Linked DNA regions of Arabidopsis thaliana. The protein of the gene in region 2 interacts with the protein of the main gene of each other region in a pairwise test. Each region holds a gene or a part of one and is shown on either strand. Other genes may lie near its edges.

Evidence for each region.
Region 1: the proteins of BLT (region 2) and STI interact in a two-hybrid assay, tested with the Arabidopsis thaliana proteins (one study listed by BioGRID).

The regions. Positions count from the first base shown.
Region 1 is NC_003071.7:658,770-666,309, forward strand, and holds STI (AAA-type ATPase family protein), read left to right. Parts: upstream 1-1,885; 5' UTR 1,886-2,094; intron 2,095-2,225; exon of another isoform or gene 2,226-2,236; 5' UTR 2,237-2,323; coding exon 2,324-4,381; intron 4,382-4,470; coding exon 4,471-4,690; intron 4,691-4,904; coding exon 4,905-5,462; intron 5,463-5,552; coding exon 5,553-6,174; intron 6,175-6,287; coding exon 6,288-6,372; intron 6,373-6,454; coding exon 6,455-6,568; 3' UTR 6,569-6,866; downstream 6,867-7,540. UniProt on the Arabidopsis thaliana protein: Acts as a key regulator of trichome branching through an endoreduplication-independent pathway.
Region 2 is NC_003070.9:24,035,682-24,039,692, reverse strand, and holds BLT (branchless trichome), read right to left. Parts: upstream 2,219-4,011; 5' UTR 2,023-2,218; coding exon 1,889-2,022; exon of another isoform or gene 1,641-1,888; coding exon 803-1,640; 3' UTR 516-802; downstream 1-515. Other genes in the region: AT1G64680 (beta-carotene isomerase D27), read right to left, coding at 2,631-2,680, 2,757-2,852, 2,933-3,039, 3,123-3,622. UniProt on the Arabidopsis thaliana protein: Acts as a key regulator of trichome branching. Could participate with STI in the same pathway. Also plays a role in integrating endoreplication levels with cell shape.

The DNA.
Region 1 (7,540 bases), on a different chromosome or scaffold from region 2:
ATATGGCCAAATTATTATTATTATATATATATATATATATATTTATTATTTTTTTTGAACGGAAAAAAGCCAGAACTGTAGTCATATACATATATCTGAATATAGCGTTTAAAAAATAATTGTGTTATCATTGTATGACACTCAAAATTTTCATTTTTTGCCAATTTTCTTTTTAGGGTACATTGATAACATAAGATCAATAAAAATATATTATGGCATCAGTTAGGTAACATACAGTATATAAACAAAAGCCACATGTTGAAAATACGTAAATAAGTATGCAACAACACTATATCGTGATAAGAACTAATATTCAACAACACTACTTTATTATCGTAGCAAAGTATGATAATCATAAACATTTATTTTCACACAGTAACTATTTTTTTAAAGATAACATCATAAAAGTCAACATTATATTAAATATAGTTATAACATAATGTATATTCTTTTTTATTTATTGTACTGTAAATTTATTCAACAACCAAAAAACTTCCTTTTATGAATATGAAAAGAATTTGAGAAGCTTTGAAATGGTAATCTTTATATTCTACAATAAATCTTTATATTCTACTATAAAAAAATATTTTCACTGATGATCAGATGATGCATCAAACTTTTTTTTTTTTTTTTCCTTTTGCAGAACTCAATATACTGATATTTCAAATCTGAAAAATACGACCAATTTTTTTTTATTTTTTTTAAACGAAAAAGTGAGAATTGTAGAATTGTAGTGATATAGTGAAGATCGGATTTTAAAATAATTATATCATTATACGATATTTAGACAAATCACTTTTTTTTTTGCAAATGTTCTTTTAAGTTTACATCTAAATTTGAAGATATAAACTCGATAAAAATATATTATGGCATTAATAAAGTAACATATTTAAACATAACGCACATGTTGAAAACACGAATGTAAGTATTCACCAACACAATATAATATCCTCCAAAATGCGATTCAACATTTTTCTGCCAAATACGATTTCACATTTGTTTTAATAAAACATGATTTCATATTTTTCCACGAAAACATGATTCCGTGGTTTTTCCACTAAAAATATGATATTAATCATAACTATTTATGTCACTAAATATTATTCAATGGTAATAATTATTGATTAATTATTCTATTTAATTAATTAATTATTTTATTTTCAGGAATCAACTCATTTAACCATTAAACCATCAAATAATTGGATTAATGAATTGACTCAATCCGTTCAACAAATGAATTGAATCAACTCATAAACCATTTCAGCCTAAACTTGGATTATGGATTGGTTTGAATGAGTTTATCCATTTTGACATCTCTAACAATACATATCTACATATGAACTAATATTCAACAACACTATTTATTCTCATAGTAATGATAATCTTAAATGTTCATTTCCATACCAAACTATTAAGAAAAGAAAAACAGTATAAAATTCAACATTATTCCTATAATAAAGATAGTTATATTTTTTTTTTTGCAAAATAAGAAATATAGTTATTTTGTTTTGTGAAATTAATAAATATAGTTATCACATAATGTCTGTCCTTTTTTCTTTATTCCTGATAATGTAAAATTTGTTCAACAAAAAAAATACACTTCCTTACGAAATAGAGATGTAACGTCTATAAGTCTGCAAAGAATTACCTTAATGTATAGTTCTTTTCATTAAGGTAAGCATTCTATTCTACCATATACAAATATTCCCATTGATAATTCACTAATCTTTTCTCTATTAGTATTCATCATGATGTTTATTTTATTTTTTTGACTAAATTTGTTAGTATTTTTTTGAGAAAAAAAGAAAGAAAAAACTAAGTGTGACGAGACACGAAAACACTAGACAAGGAGGGGCTTTGACGAGACCCGAACAAACAAATGTGAATTTAAAAAAACCCATTAAAATAATTAAAAATAATGGAAATTTAAAAATAGAAAATAATAGTGTCTCTCGCTTTCCTTCATGCGTTCTCTCGCAGTCGCAGGCGACTATCAAGTTTCAGAACTCGAGATTCATCATTCTCTGTTCCACTTCCGGCGATGTATTATAATCCCTAGACCTTAGTTCCGGCGAACTCTCGAAGAACAAACAAGTATATATTATTATTTTCTTCTTAGTGTTTCGTGCTGTTTCCACGATTCCTTCGTTTTATCTTGGATCTACAGTTTTACATTCTTCTGTTTTTCTTCACTTTCATTGTTTCCACTGCGTTGTTCTGATTAGGTATTGCACAGGTTTTGAAATGTCAGTGAAAACGCGAAGCTGAGAGAGGAGAAGGAAGAAATCGAAGGAAGCTGATTCAAATTTAGGAAGAAGAAAAAATGTCAGGTTCGAGAGTTTCGGATCTGAGTAAATTGCATCTGAAGAAGGAGCTGACTCAAATCAGAAAAGCTGGCCGTGTTTTACGCGATCCAGGTACTACTTCCTCCTGGAAATCTCCTCTCGATTCGTCAAGATCCGTCGCGCTTTTGGAGACTCCGGCGAGCAGAAACGGTGGCAGTTCGAGTCAGTTTCCGATTCGAGGAGAGAGTAGTACTAATCGTCGTGGGAAAGAGAAGAAGGTGTTTTTGTATAACTGGAAGACTCAGAAATCTTCTAGTGAGAAAAGTGGATTAGCTAAGAATGGTAAGGAAGAAGAGGAAGAAGAAGAAGATGCTTCTTCGTGGACGCAAGCTAGTGTTAATGATGATGATGATGTGAGTGATGCGAGGAATGGTGGTGATTCGTATCGTAGAGAAATACAATCAGCTTCGATGGGTTTTAGGTGTAGAGATACGAATCTAGCGTCACAAGGTGTGTCAAAGATGAGGAAGAGTAATGTTGGTAGTTGTAAGAAGAAGAGTAAGAAAAAAATTAGCTCTTCTCGTTTGGATTGTTTGTCAAAGTATCAACCTAGAGATGACATTGTTGCTAGAAATTGTAATGCTGGATCAGATGACACAGAGGAGGAATTGAGTAATTCAGAGGATTTGAGGAAGGTCACTGGTGCGTCTCCTTTGCTTTTGAAGCTTAAGCAGAAGAACTGGTCACGTTCTTCGTCAAGATTGTTGAGAGCTAATAATAGAAAAGAGGATTCTTCATGTACTTATAATAGTACACCGGCTTTATCCACTAGTTCGTACAATATGTATGCTGTTCGTAATCCCAGCACTGTTGGATCTTGGGATGGTACCACGACTTCGGTGAATGATGGTGATGATGAGTTGGATGATAACTTGGATTTACCAGGGAGGCAAGGATGTGGTATTCCGTGTTATTGGACGAAGAAGGCGATGAAACATAGAGGCGGATGCAGAAGTTGTTGCTCTCCATCGTTTTCGGATACTTTGAGAAGAACCGGAAGTAGCATTTTGTGTGGGAGTCAATCTGTGTATCGTAGACATAATAGACATTCTTCTGGAGGGTATAGTAAACAAAAAATTGCTTGTAGAAGTGCACAAGGTGTTTTACCTTTACTCAGTTACGGTGGTGATGGTAGAGGAGGGTCTTCTTTAGGAACCGGGCTTAGTGATGATGAGCTTTCTACCAATTATGGAGAGCTTGATTTAGAGGCTCAGAGTAGATTAGACGGGAGGAGGTGGTCTACTAGTTATAGGAGTCAAGATGGTTTGGAGGCTGTAGCGTTAGATGGAGAAGAAGAAGAAGGAAGTACACCGGAAACAATCCGAAGCTTCAGCCAAAAGTACAGACCAATGTTTTTTGAGGAATTGATTGGACAAAGTATAGTGGTTCAATCGTTAATGAACGCTGTTAAAAGGAGTAGGATCGCTCCTGTTTATCTTTTCCAGGGTCCTAGAGGAACTGGTAAAACATCAACCGCAAGGATTTTTTCAGCCGCCCTGAATTGTGTGGCCACTGAAGAAATGAAGCCTTGTGGGTACTGTAAAGAGTGCAATGATTTCATGTCTGGGAAAAGTAAGGATTTTTGGGAACTTGATGGAGCTAATAAGAAGGGAGCTGATAAGGTTAGGTACCTTTTAAAAAACCTACCGACGATACTTCCACGAAATTCCTCAATGTACAAGGTTTTTGTGATAGACGAGTGTCATTTGCTGCCATCGAAGACGTGGCTGTCTTTTCTTAAGTTTCTTGAAAACCCTCTGCAGAAAGTTGTCTTCATATTTATAACTACTGACCTTGAAAATGTTCCCCGGACCATTCAGTCAAGGTGCCAGAAGTTTCTCTTTGACAAACTCAAAGATTCTGACATAGTAGTGAGACTAAAGAAAATTGCTTCAGACGAAAATCTTGATGTAGACTTGCATGCGTTGGACCTGATTGCTATGAACGCGGATGGCTCACTTCGAGATGCTGAAACTATGTTGGAGCAGCTGAGTTTGCTGGGAAAACGCATCACCACAGCTTTAGTAAACGAGCTAGTAAGTTTTTCTAGTTCTTTCTGTAACTGTGCACTGAAAAAAAGTAAAATTTATTAAAGTTAAAAATGTGGCATTATGTGTTTGTTCAGGTTGGTGTTGTTTCAGATGAAAAATTGTTGGAACTCTTGGAATTAGCATTGTCTTCTGACACAGCAGAGACTGTTAAGCGAGCTAGAGAGTTGTTGGACCTTGGAGCTGACCCAATAGTCTTGATGTCTCAACTCGCCAGTCTTATTATGGATATCATTGCTGGTACATACAAGGTCGTAGATGAAAAATACAGCAACGCCTTCTTTGACGGAAGAAACTGTGAGTTCCCAGCAAAGTATTTACATATTGGTCATATGTGCTAAAAAAGTAGTTTAGTGAGGCGTTATGATCTGGTAGCTTGTTGAGATCATTGCCCGTTTCATATTTTCTAACACCCTTAAGCTAATATATCCTGTAAGAGCAATTTTACTCCCTACGATGAGTCATAAACCACTTGGTTTGATTTTCGAAAATTCTTGCTTCGTTTTTGTAGTGACTGAAGCAGATATGGAGGGATTAAAGCATGCTTTGAAACTTCTTTCTGAGGCTGAGAAGCAGCTGAGAGTTTCTAATGACCGTTCAACATGGTTCACAGCGACTTTGCTTCAGCTTGGGTCAATGCCTTCTCCTGGCACCACACATACAGGCAGTAGTAGAAGGCAAAGCTCTAGAGCAACTGACGATGACCCAGCAAGCGTTTCAAGGGAAGTGATGGCTTACAAACAGAGAATAGGAGGACTTCACTTTAGTAAGTCGGCATCTCCAGCTTCGGTTATAAAAAGGAACGGGAATCATTCCCATGAAGCGAAACCATTCTCCAGGGTTATCGATAATAACTGCTATAAATCCTCCTCATCTAGCCAAATGATAGAGAGCGAAGGTTCCATTGCCTCACATGAAAATAGCATCGCAAGCACCATGATGCTTAATCAAAGAAGTTCAGAGAAACTTAACGATATATGGAGAAAATGTATTGAAAGATGTCACTCAAAGACACTGAGGCAGCTGCTCTATACTCATGGGAAACTTATATCTATCAGTGAAGTTGAGGGTAAAAAGCCTAAAAGTTTCTTCTTTTCTCACTTTTTTGGTTTTCTCCTTTCCAAAGATTCTAATAAAATGAACATGACATGATTTGCAGGTATTCTCGTTGCTTATATCGCGTTTGGAGAAAACGATATCAAACTGAGAGCTGAAAGGTTTCTAAGCAGTATCACAAACTCGATTGAAATGGTACTAAGGCGAAGCGTAGAGGTCAGGATAATTCTCTTGCCTGAAACCGAGTTACTCGTTGTCCCTCACCAAACCCGGAAACCAGAAATGACCAACAAAAGTGGGCATCTAAATAACATCGCTGGTTTAAATGCCGAAACAGATGTTGAAGTTGGTAGCAGCGTGGAAAGCAGATCAAAACTCCCGATGCAAAGGATAGAATCAATCATCAGAGAACAAAGATTAGAAACCGCTTGGTTACAAACCGCTGATAAAGACACACCTGGATCGATAATACGGGTAAAACCCGAAAGGAATCAGATTCTACCTCAAGAAGACACTTATCGCCAAACTAACGTAGCTTCTGCTATTTCTTCTTCTGGCCTAACCACTCACCAATGGGTAGATGAGCTAAACAATGAAGTTAAGCTTTTGAAAATCGGCGACAATGGTGAGCTTCAGGAGAATCTAACCGGTACAAGAGGACAGCATTGTCCTCTTTCCCCAAGCTTACTTCATGATACTAACTTCGGAAACAACAAAGACAATCTGTAAGTTCCTCACTCTGATCCTTTTCGATACAAAACCGAAAAGAAAAAACAAATAAGATCTTTATAATCAACGTATTGTCGTAATGATGTCATGTTTGGCTTTGGTTGTGTAGAGGAGGATACGAATCAGGATCAGGAAGAGTTGGTTGTAATATATTATTTTGTTGGAACACAAAAAAGACTCAGAGACGAAGCAAGGTTTGTGCTAATAACTCGAATCTGTTCCTCCTTTTCGATGTTTTCTTTGTCTCATTTGTTTTTCATTTGCGGATTTGATTAGTCGAAACAGGTCAAGGGAACTCCTGTTCGTTCGCGGAGAAATCGGAAGAGTCGGTTCTCTCTGTTTAATGGATGTGCTAAGCCAAGGAAAGCAGAAGGTAACATTAGAAGATGAAACTAAGTTCTTTAGTCATGAAAAACAAAATTGTTCCCTCAAGCTCTAATTTATCATCTGTTCTTCCACTTCCACATAGTTTTCCCTTAATTATGTTTGATAATGATATGTCAAAGGACAGTTTTAATATATTCACTGTAAAGTTCCTATCCATTTTTGTTATCTATCTTATAAAAACTTCAAAAATGTTACTGTGAAATAATCGACGAATTGGTTAACCTTGCACATTAGTTTATATTTTTCAATTTTTTTGTGTTGCATTTGTTGGAAAAATAAATAATATTTATTATTTGTGATTTACCTTTTTCAGTTATTGTAATTTTTAGTTTCATATTTACTTGGTTTATGACACATATTGAAACTATTGAAACAAATCAAAATTTCTATTGTTAAACTCTTTTCAAGTCTTAAAAAATATTAAAATTTTAAAATGAACAAAAAGGTTATGTAAGTTTTGTTTCACCTAACTTAAGCGGGGAGATGAAAAGTTGAAAAGTTAGTAAATGTAATAGACCAAAGGGTTTGTCGCGGAGAATAAATTATAAAAGAAAACAAACTATAATTTTGATATTTATAAATATATTTTTTGGAACAAATATTTATATTTATAATATTTTATGTAATTTATTTTCTATATATATCATCCAAAAATTTAGTGGAGTATATTTTAAAAAAAAAAAAATCAAAACTATTTAATACTTGGAATTTCAACAAATATTATATTACTCTATGTTATATAACCTTAAATCGGTTTGGACCTTCCAGTTTTACGTAAATCAAGTTAATAATGTAAACTAGGAAAATTAAAATTTAGATAAAGAATAGCTGAGATCAAACTGTCTCAGATTTTGTTTTTGTTTTTGATTTATTTTAGTAATTAACGAATCATCACGATATAGTAGTGATAAAATTATAAATTTATAATATTAAGCTGTTGAAAATAGAATATTATTATATATAATATTCAACATA
Region 2 (4,011 bases):
ATTGCATATAGTTGGACAATAAAATGAGCTTCCTCTCTTCTAGTCTATTTTCACAATACACATTTTTATATACAAAATGACTATATCACCTTTTTTTAGTGAGACCAAATAATGTGAAGGTGAAATTTCTTCGTCAAAAATTATCCGCAAACGTGAAAATTTTACACTAAAATTTTCTGCAATTACTTAAAAAAAAATCTTGTTAAAATTCTTGTAAATCATTTATAAACTCTTATACAATTCTATTAAAACCTCTTGTAAATCTTTTTAAACCTCTTATAAAATCTTTGTAAATCCTTTAAATAACCCCTTATTTTTTAAAAATTCTTGAAAATCTTTTTTTAAACTCTTGTAAAACTTTTTATAAATCTTTTAAACCTCTTATAAATCCGTTGAAAACCATTTGTAAATCATTTTAAAATCTTATAGATCATTAAAATCTCTTGTAAATCGTTTCAAAACATTCATTCAATCTTTCAAAAACTTTTGTTAATTCTTTATAGATCCTTATAAGATCCTTCAAAACTATACCAGCGATAGAAGAAAGCTTTAGGTGCAGAAAACTATGTATATTTGTCTGATCTTGTCCGAGACGACTCAACATAACAAATTTGGATAATGGGATAATCATTTTCTTCCAATCCATCTTTAATAGACGTCAATATATATGCTATGTATAACACATCCATGTGAATAAAATATTATCTAACGGACAGACAAAGAGAATCTTATTAGTACATCTTCAGTCTTAGATGTGAATTATTGAGATTGAGCGAGGCGAACAAAAGACAAGCATACAGTATCAAGGAGGAGGAGAGGAGAGAAGAGGAGTACATCTTGGGGTGGTCTTTTGTCTGAGCAGAATTTTGAGCTGAACCTTTTGGCACTCCAGCTTTGAACCCCATTTCTCACTCTTTGATCTTATTGCTCTCATCACTCTTGGGAACGGATTGATTCCTCTCTTTATTTGCGGATTCTCGCACCTCCTCCTAGCCGGTGAGCTACACGCTCTCTCCAATATCTTAGGTTTCATCATCCTATTCCTCTCCCTCTCTCCTTGTCTATTAGCTTCCTCTAATTCAGATAGCTTCTCCTCCAAGAAAAGCCTTGCATCCATCAGCTTCATCTGAACTCTCTCTTCTCTCAAAACCTCTGCCAACCTGTGCATCTGTCTCTCTTCTTCAAGATCTCGTTTCATCCGAACCATCTCTGACTTCTCAGACGATAACTCTTTGAAGAGCCGCTTGTTTTGCATCTCCTCCGCTTCTCTAGCCATTCTCTCCTCCTCCACATCTTTAGCCAGCTTCTTGATCATCAGCTCTGCCCGTCTTCGAGCTTTTCTCTCATAGTCCAGTTCTGCCTTCAATTCCTTGATCTCGTCTTGAGCTTTTCCTAGTTCAGATTCCATGAACACCTTTATGAAATTCAGATCCCAAATAAATGCCTTGCGTTGGTGTTGATGCTGTTGAGACTGAGAAGAGCAGTAGTATGGATTTTCATAAAGCTTCCAGGGTTTGCAGACTGAGTCCATTGCATCTTCTCGTACACCGGTACTGTGAGGATCTGGAGTGGGGATTCTGGTCATCATCGTTTCAGGGCTGCTCTGCATCTTCATATCCTTCATCTTTTTGGTTGGCCTTCTATATTTGAGATAAAGGGAAAAAAAAGGGAAAAAGAAAGAAAAAAAGTAAGGGTTATTAAATATCACTTTAGAAGATGGAAGTGTGTTGTAAAGCTGAAAGAGTGAGTCATCACATGATTACCAGCTTCAATCATTCTTCCTCAGGACCTCGTCGTTAAAGAGTAAGGAAAAGTAGCAGAAACAAACAGATGGCGTCTAACTCTTAGGTAAACTAACAAATGCGATTAGAAGATATATGAAACTGACCTTTGTTGTAGTTTCATGACGATTGTTTGTTGGGCAGTGTATCTTTGAAAAGCCGACAACTTCTCTGTGCTTTCAATGAACCACCTCTCATTTTGTGTGTTCGTACACTTGGGGGTGTCAATTAATTGGCCCATTCAAACATTAATGCCTCATCTGTTCCACTTCTCCTAGCTATATGTCTCTCTATAAATTAAACTATGAACAGATTTTCTTTATCTAAACATTTACTCTGTTCTGTTCACTCCCTAGTCAGTTGGAGTTGCAGGAAACAAAACAAGGAACAGAATTCTTTTTTCTTTTTTTGTGTGTGCAAGTCAAATGAAAGTTAAGTCTTTCAGTGTGTATCAAAGCACCAAACCGCAAACTAAACATTCCATGAAAGTAAGTCGTTAAAGCAAAACTACAGTAAGTATCTGATATCCATATAAGCAGAGAGGGTTACTTTAAAGCTAAGCTAATCTCAGTTTTTGGTTTTATATTACAATACAAACTGCAAGTAACACTTGAGATCCAAGTTATAACCAACATGGCGAGTTCAAACTTAAAACATAAAGAAGATGAGTAAGCTCAAGTGTATTATCGTATACTTTACACAACCCAACCAGAATAGTAACAAAGAACACTAACTCGTCTTCACAACTGTCTTTTATATGTAATGTATGTGTTTGGAAAAGAAAAAAAGTATGTATATCGCTTGGAAATTGCACATCCCGTCAAAGAAGTGGCTGCTGATCCACTCCACTCATGCCTCTAGTTTAGGGCAGATTGGGGAGCTTGGATTCGACATAGAACCTGCAGGCAACATCATCACCATCATGTTAGATACATCTTGCATGCATGTATGCAATCTGAGCATTGTAAGACTTACATATATCTGCTAGACAAGGTTGCTTGGTGGCTACATCCTCCTCAAAGGCCGGAGGTGCTTGCCCGTATATCATCTCGCAGCTCATGTCTTCATAATCTACAAACCAAAATGGAGAGATGGCTAATGAAAACAAACACCAATGTATAAGGATGGTCAAAAGGAGATATGTTACATACTTGGGTTCATGGTGAGTGGGAGGCCAAACTCATTGGTGAAGAAATCTTGGGTTGGAATCTTGCACATATTCACACACATTCCTACACACCCACTGTTCTCCAGATACCTTCAATCAACAGTAGGAGCAAGTCTGTCACATTTTGAACAAGACAACTAGTAATAGTCATTTTGATGGAATTCACTTGTTACCTGCATTTCTTGATACGAACTCCACTTCTCTGTTTCACACCATTCACTTCCACTTCTATGACCTGAGATGGACCAACCAACCAGTGAAAGAAAGGCACTGTAAGAGCGGCATTGAACTCTGCAGCCCATTTCGTTGGTGGGAACAATTTCCTAAACTGTTCAGGAGCACCAGGAGGCAGCATAGAGAGAAGAACCTCCCTCACGGCCTCTTGCTGCTGCACTCTGGACCGTCCCTGCATCACTCTCTTTGACACCTCCACGAAGCTCTCGTAATCGTACTCCCAAAAACCCTTCTCCTTCGTGTCCTTCTTCTTCTTCGACCCGAACTTGTCCATCTTCCTCGCGAAGAGACCCATGAACACTCTCTCCACCAGCCCATCCTCGTATCTAGTCTTCAGCCCCATCGGAGCTGGCTCTCCGCTCGGCTCAGCAATTCCACATCGAGTGCTACGTCGCCTAAATGTGAGATTAACTGCTTGCAGACTAGCAATAGCCGCCATGGATAAGAAGATATCTCTCGCCCTCGTTGCTCTTCTTCCCTACCACCATCATCTCATACTCTGCTTTTACTGCATTAAGGGCCACACAAACGTGACCACAACCTTACCACTTACAAGTGTCCACTTTGTTTGCCTCTTAAACAAGTAAAGTTTTGGGTGGACTATATAAGCCCACACAAAAAACATTGGCCCGTTTCACTGAGGCCTATCTTTCATTGAGAATATTTTTTTCAAATATTTATTCAATTATTTAATATGTGTTAGATTACAAGTTATTTCGAATTTTTATTTAATTTAACTTTGCCCAAATAAGCTTATGTTTTAAGTTATATATATCAATTATGTGTAAAACATATACTGATTCTTAAAGTTATGGGAAAAATATCACA